Tamandua tetradactyla: one gene and its partner. The protein of the gene in region 1 interacts with the protein of each later gene in a biochemical or structural test. Links are inferred from orthologs where the notes say so. Each region holds a gene or a part of one and is shown in the gene's direction. Other genes may lie near its edges.

Region 1 (3,910 bases):
GCCAGCGGAACTTGCTAGAAATATGTCCTCTGGAACTTTCCAGGTATTCGCCCTCTAGGTGTCAGCGAGAGCTATCCTCACTGGAAGCACTCTGCCACAAAACCACCTGCGAGGGGTGCCTGAGGAAGTTGCTGGCTGCTGGGTGTGGCCAGGTGTTGCTGGCCACTAGGCACAACAGGACCTGGACACTGGAGAAGCCACTTGTGCTGCAGGAACTGGGCGCTGGGGCAGCTACTCCTGATGCACGAGCACCGTGCTGCAGGAGGAGACCAGGAAGGAAAACCTCTTCCTCCCGCAATGTCTCTCCAGCGCCCTCTACTGGAAACAGGCTTTGGCTGAAAGGAAAAATCCTTAAAGGGCCCAGTTACATTTTCACAGCCAGGAAAAAAGGATGCATTTGGAGCCAAGAGGCTCCAAATAATTAATGACAGATTAATGACAGATATAACAGGAATGCCTCCTTTCAGGGAAGAAAAGGATTCTGCTGGACCCTAAGTGGGGAAGATACCTCCTTGGTGGGACTTTCATTCCCATCTGGGCTCATAGAGGCTTTCTGGTGACCCCCAAGGGCCAGAGTTTGGATTTAAGAGTGATATTTCTGGGGATCTTGGTGGAGTCACGTATAAAGTCACAGCTGGGCTTGAACTGTCCTGTGGAAACTGTGAGTAGCAATCCCTGGTAGCACCACTTGGGGGTGCTGTGCCCAGTAGGGCAGGAGTGGGGGACTCACCAGAATTAAGGGCAATATCCTGGTGAGCAAAAAGTGGAGGGGCCCTTGTGAGGCCAAGTCTCAGGAAACCATCAGAATAGTGAGGGAAGAGAAAAGGCTCATGTTATAATCATGTAAATATAAAAAGGAGAAGATAATTAATTGGCCTAAGAATGGAGAGACACGGAAGATGCATTTAGAAGAGAATATCATACGGATCAAAACTATCAGTTCAATTATTATTGAGGGAAAAGTTTCAAATAATTTCTTCCCTTCCACGTTTCCGTAATTTTATTTGCTACGGCTATAATCCAGACTCAGACCAATAACTTTGGCGTTCCTCACCCCAGTCTACAATAAAAACCTGAGAAAAGAAAGTTTTCCTTCAATCCACCTTTCCAATTGGGCCAGCAATGAATTCCTGTGTTAACATATTTTAACATTCGCATGCTGAAAGTAATTTATTTGCTTTATTAATAGCATTTTTCATTTCTCAAATGATTCACAACTGAATTCCTTTGAAAAGCTCATTATCTTAGTGCCTAAAATGGTTCCAAAATTTCAGGAAATGGGTATTAAATAAAAAGCAGTGCAGCAATCATTAGAAACGGCATAGCTGCATGTAAATATATTCAGGAATTCAGAATTTTCACAGAAGTTAATTATAACTAATTACTCCCTTGCACTTACCTAGGCCAGTCTTTCTTCAAACCAAGAAAGTGCCCTTGGTGAGATTTTAGAGACAACAGTGAAGTCTCAGTCCTAGGAGAAAGCAGGCAGAGACAAGACCTGGTTTTTGCCTGAAGTCCACCATGAAGGCTGAGCTCCTTTGGTTCAGGGCTTTGATGGTTCTTTAAAAGCCAATCTCTCCGGTACGAATAAAACTACAATTTCTTCCCAGATAGTTACACTTCAGTGCCTGAGGTAATTAATTGTTCCTCTGAGGGATTTGGGAAAGACATTAGAGGGCTCCAACGAAAACCCAGGGGTGAAGAAGGACGCGTGTGTGTTTGCGCGTGCGCGCGTGCGCTGAGGAGGGGTAGCGGGGTGTCGGGGCAGGGGTGAGGTGTTTCAGTGGAAGCCCCTGTCCCTCTCATTCTTGACTTCCTCAGGGCCACATACCCAGTGCCTGACACATGAGGGCGCTCCATAAATACTTCGTGAATGAGCCTGGCTGCACCGCGCGCCGAGCGCGCTGTAAAGCGAGGGTTGGGACTTGCTTAAGAGAAAGCTGAGTTAGCATCCTTGCGCCCACGCGCGAAGGAGGGCACACCGGCGAGTGGAAACAAAGTCCCGGAAGCCGGACACCACAGCACACCCCCGGCGGGCCGGAGGGGTCTCGGCCTAGGGAGAAAGTAACTCAGGCAGGTATGCACGCGGAGCCTCACCCTACCGGGACCGGAGCCGCACGGGCTGGGGTCAAGGGTCTGGTTGGACAAGAGCTAATGACTGCGAGAGCTAGGGCCCCGCGCTGTGCAGAGGCCCCGGGTGGAGGTCTCAGACAAGGGGGCAGCCGTGGGACGTGGCGCTGTGGCATGGGGAGGCGCGCGGCCGAGTCTGCAGGGCCTGCTGCCCCTTCGCGTGGCCCGGGCCACTTCGCGCGCGACCGAGCTTTGCGGGGCGCACTCTCCCGAACCGCAGGCGGCGCCCGCAGCCCCGCCCGGTTTCTCGTCCTGCCCGGGGCGGCCCCTCCTTCTGCGGCGCTGGGGATTTTACTTTCATTTTCGGTAGAGCGGCCCCAGACCCTCGCTCCAGAGGGACGAGGAGGCTGCGAGCTCCGGCCGTCGGGACCGTCGTGGGAAAGGTAACTGCGCCTCCCGCCTCCTCCCGCCTCGGCCCGCGCCTCTCCGCGGCGCGCTTCCTCCCTGGCTTTCCCGCGGGGTTTCTTGCACTTCCCCCGCCGCTCAGTGCGCCGGGTGGGGGGAAGGCGGCCCCGACGGTAGGCGCTGAAGCTTCGGGGAAGGAATCTTCCGCGCTGCGGCGTCGCGTACTTTGTTAGCGGATCCTCCTTTTCCTCCTGGCCGGGGACTTGGGACACCCCGTACGCTCGGGATCTGGAAGAGGAGGAGCTGGTTATCTGTCAGGGCGGTTAACAGCGAGGGCTCCGGGGTCAGAAAAGCCTAGGTTCCAGTCCCCTGACCCTCCCTGTGCTTCGTAAGACTGGTGATCCCGGGCTGATGCGGAAGGATGTGATTTGGTGCATTGCTAAGTGCACTCCAACTACTGCCATTGTTGGGTAACCTTTCTGCAGGGCCCATGGAGGTGTCTTGGGGAGGTGAGAAAAGGCAGGCGATATGGACACTCAGGCTGCAGGGGACCTTGGAGGTGTATGGACACTCAGCCTGCAGGGGACCTTGCAACCCTTACGGTTGTATTCAGCTGTGCGGTTTTATTGGGCAGGAAAATTGCCTCTGGGTAGTTCCAGATTAGTCATTCCCATTCCTTTTCCTTGGATTTAAGAGCAGCCCACAGTGGCCTTTAACCTTTATTTACTAACAGGTGGTTTCCCCCTTCAGGACCTTCTAGACAGCTCAGGCCTGACCTTCCTTCTCCGTGCTGCTGCTCCTAGATTCATAGTCCATCTTTGGCCACCGGTTAACTGTGTGGCTTTGAGCCAGTCGCTTAACCTCTCTGAACCTCTCTGAAGAAACCGAGGGGTAAAGGCTACAGTCTTCTAGTTGTGATGAGGATCAAGGAGACAGTGGAGCATTTGCCTGCCCAGCAGCCCTCCCATGGTGCTAGAGGTGAGAGGAGGAGATCTTCAGGGCCTCTATTCTTGAGCCCTTTTGGGAAGATTGCCTTCATTGGATCAGGAAATGGGATGCAAATCATATTATATGACCTTTCAGGAGAAGCAGCTGCAATGAGCCCATCCCCTGTCTCTATTTTATATATATATGTATAAACTTCGCTTCTCTGTAGCCAAGTCCAAATGGCTAGGAAGGATGTATATAAGCTATGCCCATGCTTTAATAGACCATTTCAGACACTGGGCCTGGAGCATGCCCTGCCTTCCAACTCCAGACAGTGACTGGGAAATGATTTCCTACCCACAATAAATACTGGCTGCCCCAACATGTGGGCAGTTATGAAGCATATCCCACTCACCACTCCTGGGGTCTCAACCACCCTCCTGGGTTTCTTTTAGTTCTTTTGTCTGCTCTGAGTCAGCAGTTTATTCAAGACATTGAAGGATTTACA
Region 2 (3,910 bases), on another chromosome or scaffold:
GAAACTGTGAATCAATAAAATCTTGTTGTTTAAGGTCATTGTGTGGTGTTTGTTGTAGTAGCCTTGCAAAATAACACCAGAGGCTTTGGGGAAAGAAACATTTGTTTATGTGATTAGGAGAGGATGGGAGCTTGAACTGGGGTGTTGGGAGTATAGATGGAGAGCTGTCAGATTTGTGATATTTAGGAGAAGAAAATTTGTAAATTGGTTATGGCAATGGGAGAAAGGGAAGCATTAAAGACAGGTTCCACGTTTCTGGCTGGGGTGGGTGGGTGGATGATAGTACATTTAGTAAGATGGAGAAGACTAGAGTTGCAGTTCGAGAGGAAGATAAGAATTACAGTCCTGGTCAATAGGACTTTCAAGTCCTACAATTCACTCAAGTGGAGGGCAGTTTAGGCCACTGGGTGTGTAATGGGAGGAGAAGCAGGGGTGGAGATGTACCTGTGGGAGTCCAGAGTATACAGAGGATGCTTGCATACATGGAAAAGCCCAAGTACAAAGAGAAGGGAAGGCAGCCCAGCTGGCCTTAAGTAGCCCTCATGTTGAAAGATCCTGTCTGCTTCAAATGCTGTTACAGCATTTACTCATCATCCATTTCCTATAAGTGGTTCACCCCCTTCTACGCAGACACCCCTCCGCTGGCTCCCGGGCCTAGGCTCTGACCCGGGAGGCACAGGAAGCACCCGGCAAGAGCAGCGCTAGTTGAGCCCTGATACCTAGTCATTGCAGCGTTCCCCAGTGTCCTTGCACCTTCCTCACCTTCCTCTCAAGCGCAGAGCTCATCAGAGGGCCCAGCGCTCCCTTTTTCTCACTCCCTCGTTCTACCCTGTTTGATTCGTCTTTTAAGGCATCCTTTCTTCTTTGAGGCTTTTGCAACTCAATTTGACGTGATTTCACGGTATAGAAATGGTAGGGCTAGGGTGTAAAGAGACCATCCTGTCTAAATAAATAAGAGGTCGCTGTCAGAAATGATTTCAATAATCCCGGTGCCAGGAAGTAGGAAGATTGAAGATGGGAAGGGCAGGAGAAATTTTCAGAAAGGCCGCTTAATGGGAAGATCCCCCCCTTAGTGGGAGGATCCGTACGCTGGATGCTGGCGCGCCCACCCCTACCCGCGTCACCGCGGTTTCCGGAAACTCCACGCCCCTGGGTACTCGGTTTCTCCGGATGGTTCCGGAAGAGTGGGGCGAAGCGGCAGAGAGAGCGAACCGGCCGGCCGGGACGCTGCACCGGCCGCTGGGGAGGAGCGGAGTGGCCAGGGCTTTGTGCCCCAGTTGATTCTCGAGCCTGCGGACTCGGGAGAGGCGCGGAGCCCGGAAGGTGCGCGCGTTGCGCCTGCCCCGGCACCCAGCGAGTCGAGCAGGGGCAGCTGCATCCCCAGCGCGGGTAGCTGGGAGTTCTGGCGCGCCGAGACACAAAGGCAGGCAGGATGGGGCAGCTGCAGAGTCGGCAAAGGAAAAGCGAAAGCCGCGGGCCCCGCCGGTGACCCGGTGAAGGCGCCGCTCCGCTCTCCCGACGCCGGCGGTGCGCGGGCCTACGCTCGTGGGCCTGCCGAACTGAACCCGGCGCGCCGCAACCATGGCCATCGCCCACCTGGCTACCGAGTATGTGTTCTCAGACTTCTTGCTGAAGGAGCCCGCGGAGTCCAAGTTCAAGGGTCTGCGGCTGGAGCTGGCGGTGGACAAGATGGTCACGTGCATCGCCGTGGGACTCCCGCTGCTGCTCATCTCGCTGGCCTTCGCTCAGGAGATCTCCATAGGTAAGGCCATGGGCGAGGGCAGGCGGGGCGGAGGAGGCCCGGCACGCCTTATCAGGGCTGTCTTAGACTGGCAAGATGGGATTTTACTGAGCGCCGGCCAGAATCTCGGCTTGCTGGCCGCTGCGGTGGCGTGCGCGTTGAGAAGGAAGGTAGCCCCGGTTTTACGGTCCGAGAAGCACTCTTTACCCGTGGCCTCATTTGTAACTCTGTGCTGTGGACCCTGTGCCCGGCCGTTGCAGCCTCCTGCGTTCCATCCCCACTACTCAGCTCTTGTTTCCTGCGCCCGCTTTGTCCCAACTGTAGTGTTCCTGTTCCACCTGCCATCGGATTAGCAGAGGACACCCGCCTTCTCTCTTTTCACACACACGCGTTTGTGCAGTCACATAAAATTTGGGGCCAAAGAAGTTCCCGTGGGAGTAAATGGAGTGTGCACAGAAAAGTGCTCCACGTAAAGAGTGTTCTCTCGCTGTTTTACGAGTAATTGCTATTTGCTGGGACTCAGCCATGCAGAGTTGGGACTGATAGGCAACACCTGCGCTTGACAAGGCCTCGGAGGGATACCAACATCCGCCGACTGGACGGTGTTTTTATGAACGTGAGATGAACAAGTCACCTTTATATAAGTTCTTATTTGATCCTAATAACAATTCTGGGAGATATGAAAGGCTCGTGGGTTGGGCAGGATCAAGTAACTGATAAATTTCTGGTTTTCTTCCTCATCTGTTCTTTCAGCACAGGAGAGTGTTTATGAAGCCACGGAAAGAGTGTAGTGGAGTAAAAGAGGTAGAGGCCAGTGCACCTACCCGGAGGGCAAAGCTCTTTATTGGACGTTGGGCTGGCCTGGAGCCTTGGAGCACAGATAGGATTTGGATAGCAAATTTTGAACACGCAGGGAAAAGTATGTGTTCCTGGAAGGGGAGAGACAGTGACTGCCCTCCTGGAGGCAGGAGGACTTGTTTGGATTTTTCAGATCTGAGAGTGAATATGGGCCTGGGTCAGATTAGAACAGAGGATAGCAGTCATGGTTGAAGACGTGGGAAGTTATCTGAGCAAAGGATGGACTGGCCAAAACTTAGTAAATAATAGCCTGGTGGTGGTGTAGGCTGTGTGGAAGGAGGGCGGAGAATGGAGCTAGGGAACTGGAGGCAGAAGGTGAGGCATCAGTTGAAGTCTTGTGCATGGATGGGGATGAAGAGTAGAAGGGAGAGGATGGGAATGGATGATTTGTGAGAGATCAAAGAGCAATAAGCAGGCCTCGGGTCATTAGTTTGTTGTATATGTGTGTGTTTTGTTTGTTTGTACCTCCACTTTTTCTTAAAAGCAGTTTTATTGAGATACATTCACACACCATACAAATCCATCCAAAGTGTACAATCAGTGCTTCGTGATATCACCACATCGTTGTGCATTTATAGCCGTGATCGGTTTTAGTACATTTTCATTACTCCAAAATAAATCATCCCATGCTCTCCATTATTGAGCCTTAATATCAGTGTGGTGCATTTGTTATTATTGATGAAAGAACATTGAGCCATTACTGTTAACTATAGTTCACAGTTTACAATAGGTATTTTTCCCCCATATACCACTCTATTATTAACTCTTTATAATAGTGGTAATATATTATATTATATTATAATATAACTATATATTATAGTTCTAATATAAAACTAGTACATTAACTAGTTTTTAATAGGGAACACAGGGCATATACTGGTCAGAGTTGCTGCAAAGCCTGCAGGGCTGGATGGGTGGAGAATGGCATTGTTGATAGAAATAGTAAAATTGAGGGAAGAGTTGGTTAGAAAAGGGTGTCAGTGTGTTTGATTTTGTGATCTTCACCCCACATTGTTCAGTTCGGCAGGAAGTTACCAAATTCATTGTGGAGCATAAGTTTTCAGTTTCCTTTGCGTTTGGGCAAGCATAGTCATCAGAGTTTCCTTTTGCCTTCCCGATGACCAGGGGTGGAGGCATCCAGTAGATAGGAAAACCACCAAGTAGCATGGGTCCTAAAGATAGTCTCTTCCTTTAGCAGATGCTCCTAGAGTACCAGCTGTGAACGCATGACACGTGGTCCCTGTCCTGGAGAAGTTGATCACCCTCTGTGACCAGCTCTACCTCTGGCTTATGAATTAGAGGGAATCCTAA

Evidence for each region.
Region 2: of the proteins of CASP7 (region 1) and PANX1, one has a biochemical effect on the other in vitro, tested with the Homo sapiens proteins (2 studies listed by IntAct). The link is inferred for Tamandua tetradactyla from reciprocal best matches to the Homo sapiens genes CASP7 and PANX1.

What each region holds. Positions count from the first base shown.
Region 1 is NC_135339.1:75,622,570-75,626,479, forward strand, and holds the start of CASP7 (caspase-7), read left to right. Parts: upstream 1-1,757; 5' UTR 1,758-2,077; intron 2,078-2,381; exon of another isoform or gene 2,382-2,513; intron 2,514-3,225; 5' UTR 3,226-3,441; coding exon 3,442-3,453; intron 3,454-3,910. UniProt on the Homo sapiens protein: Thiol protease involved in different programmed cell death processes, such as apoptosis, pyroptosis or granzyme-mediated programmed cell death, by proteolytically cleaving target proteins.
Region 2 is NC_135334.1:48,832,458-48,836,367, reverse strand, and holds the start of PANX1 (pannexin-1), read left to right. Parts: upstream 1-1,140; 5' UTR 1,141-1,581; coding exon 1,582-1,762; intron 1,763-3,910. UniProt on the Homo sapiens protein: Ion channel involved in a variety of physiological functions such as blood pressure regulation, apoptotic cell clearance and oogenesis.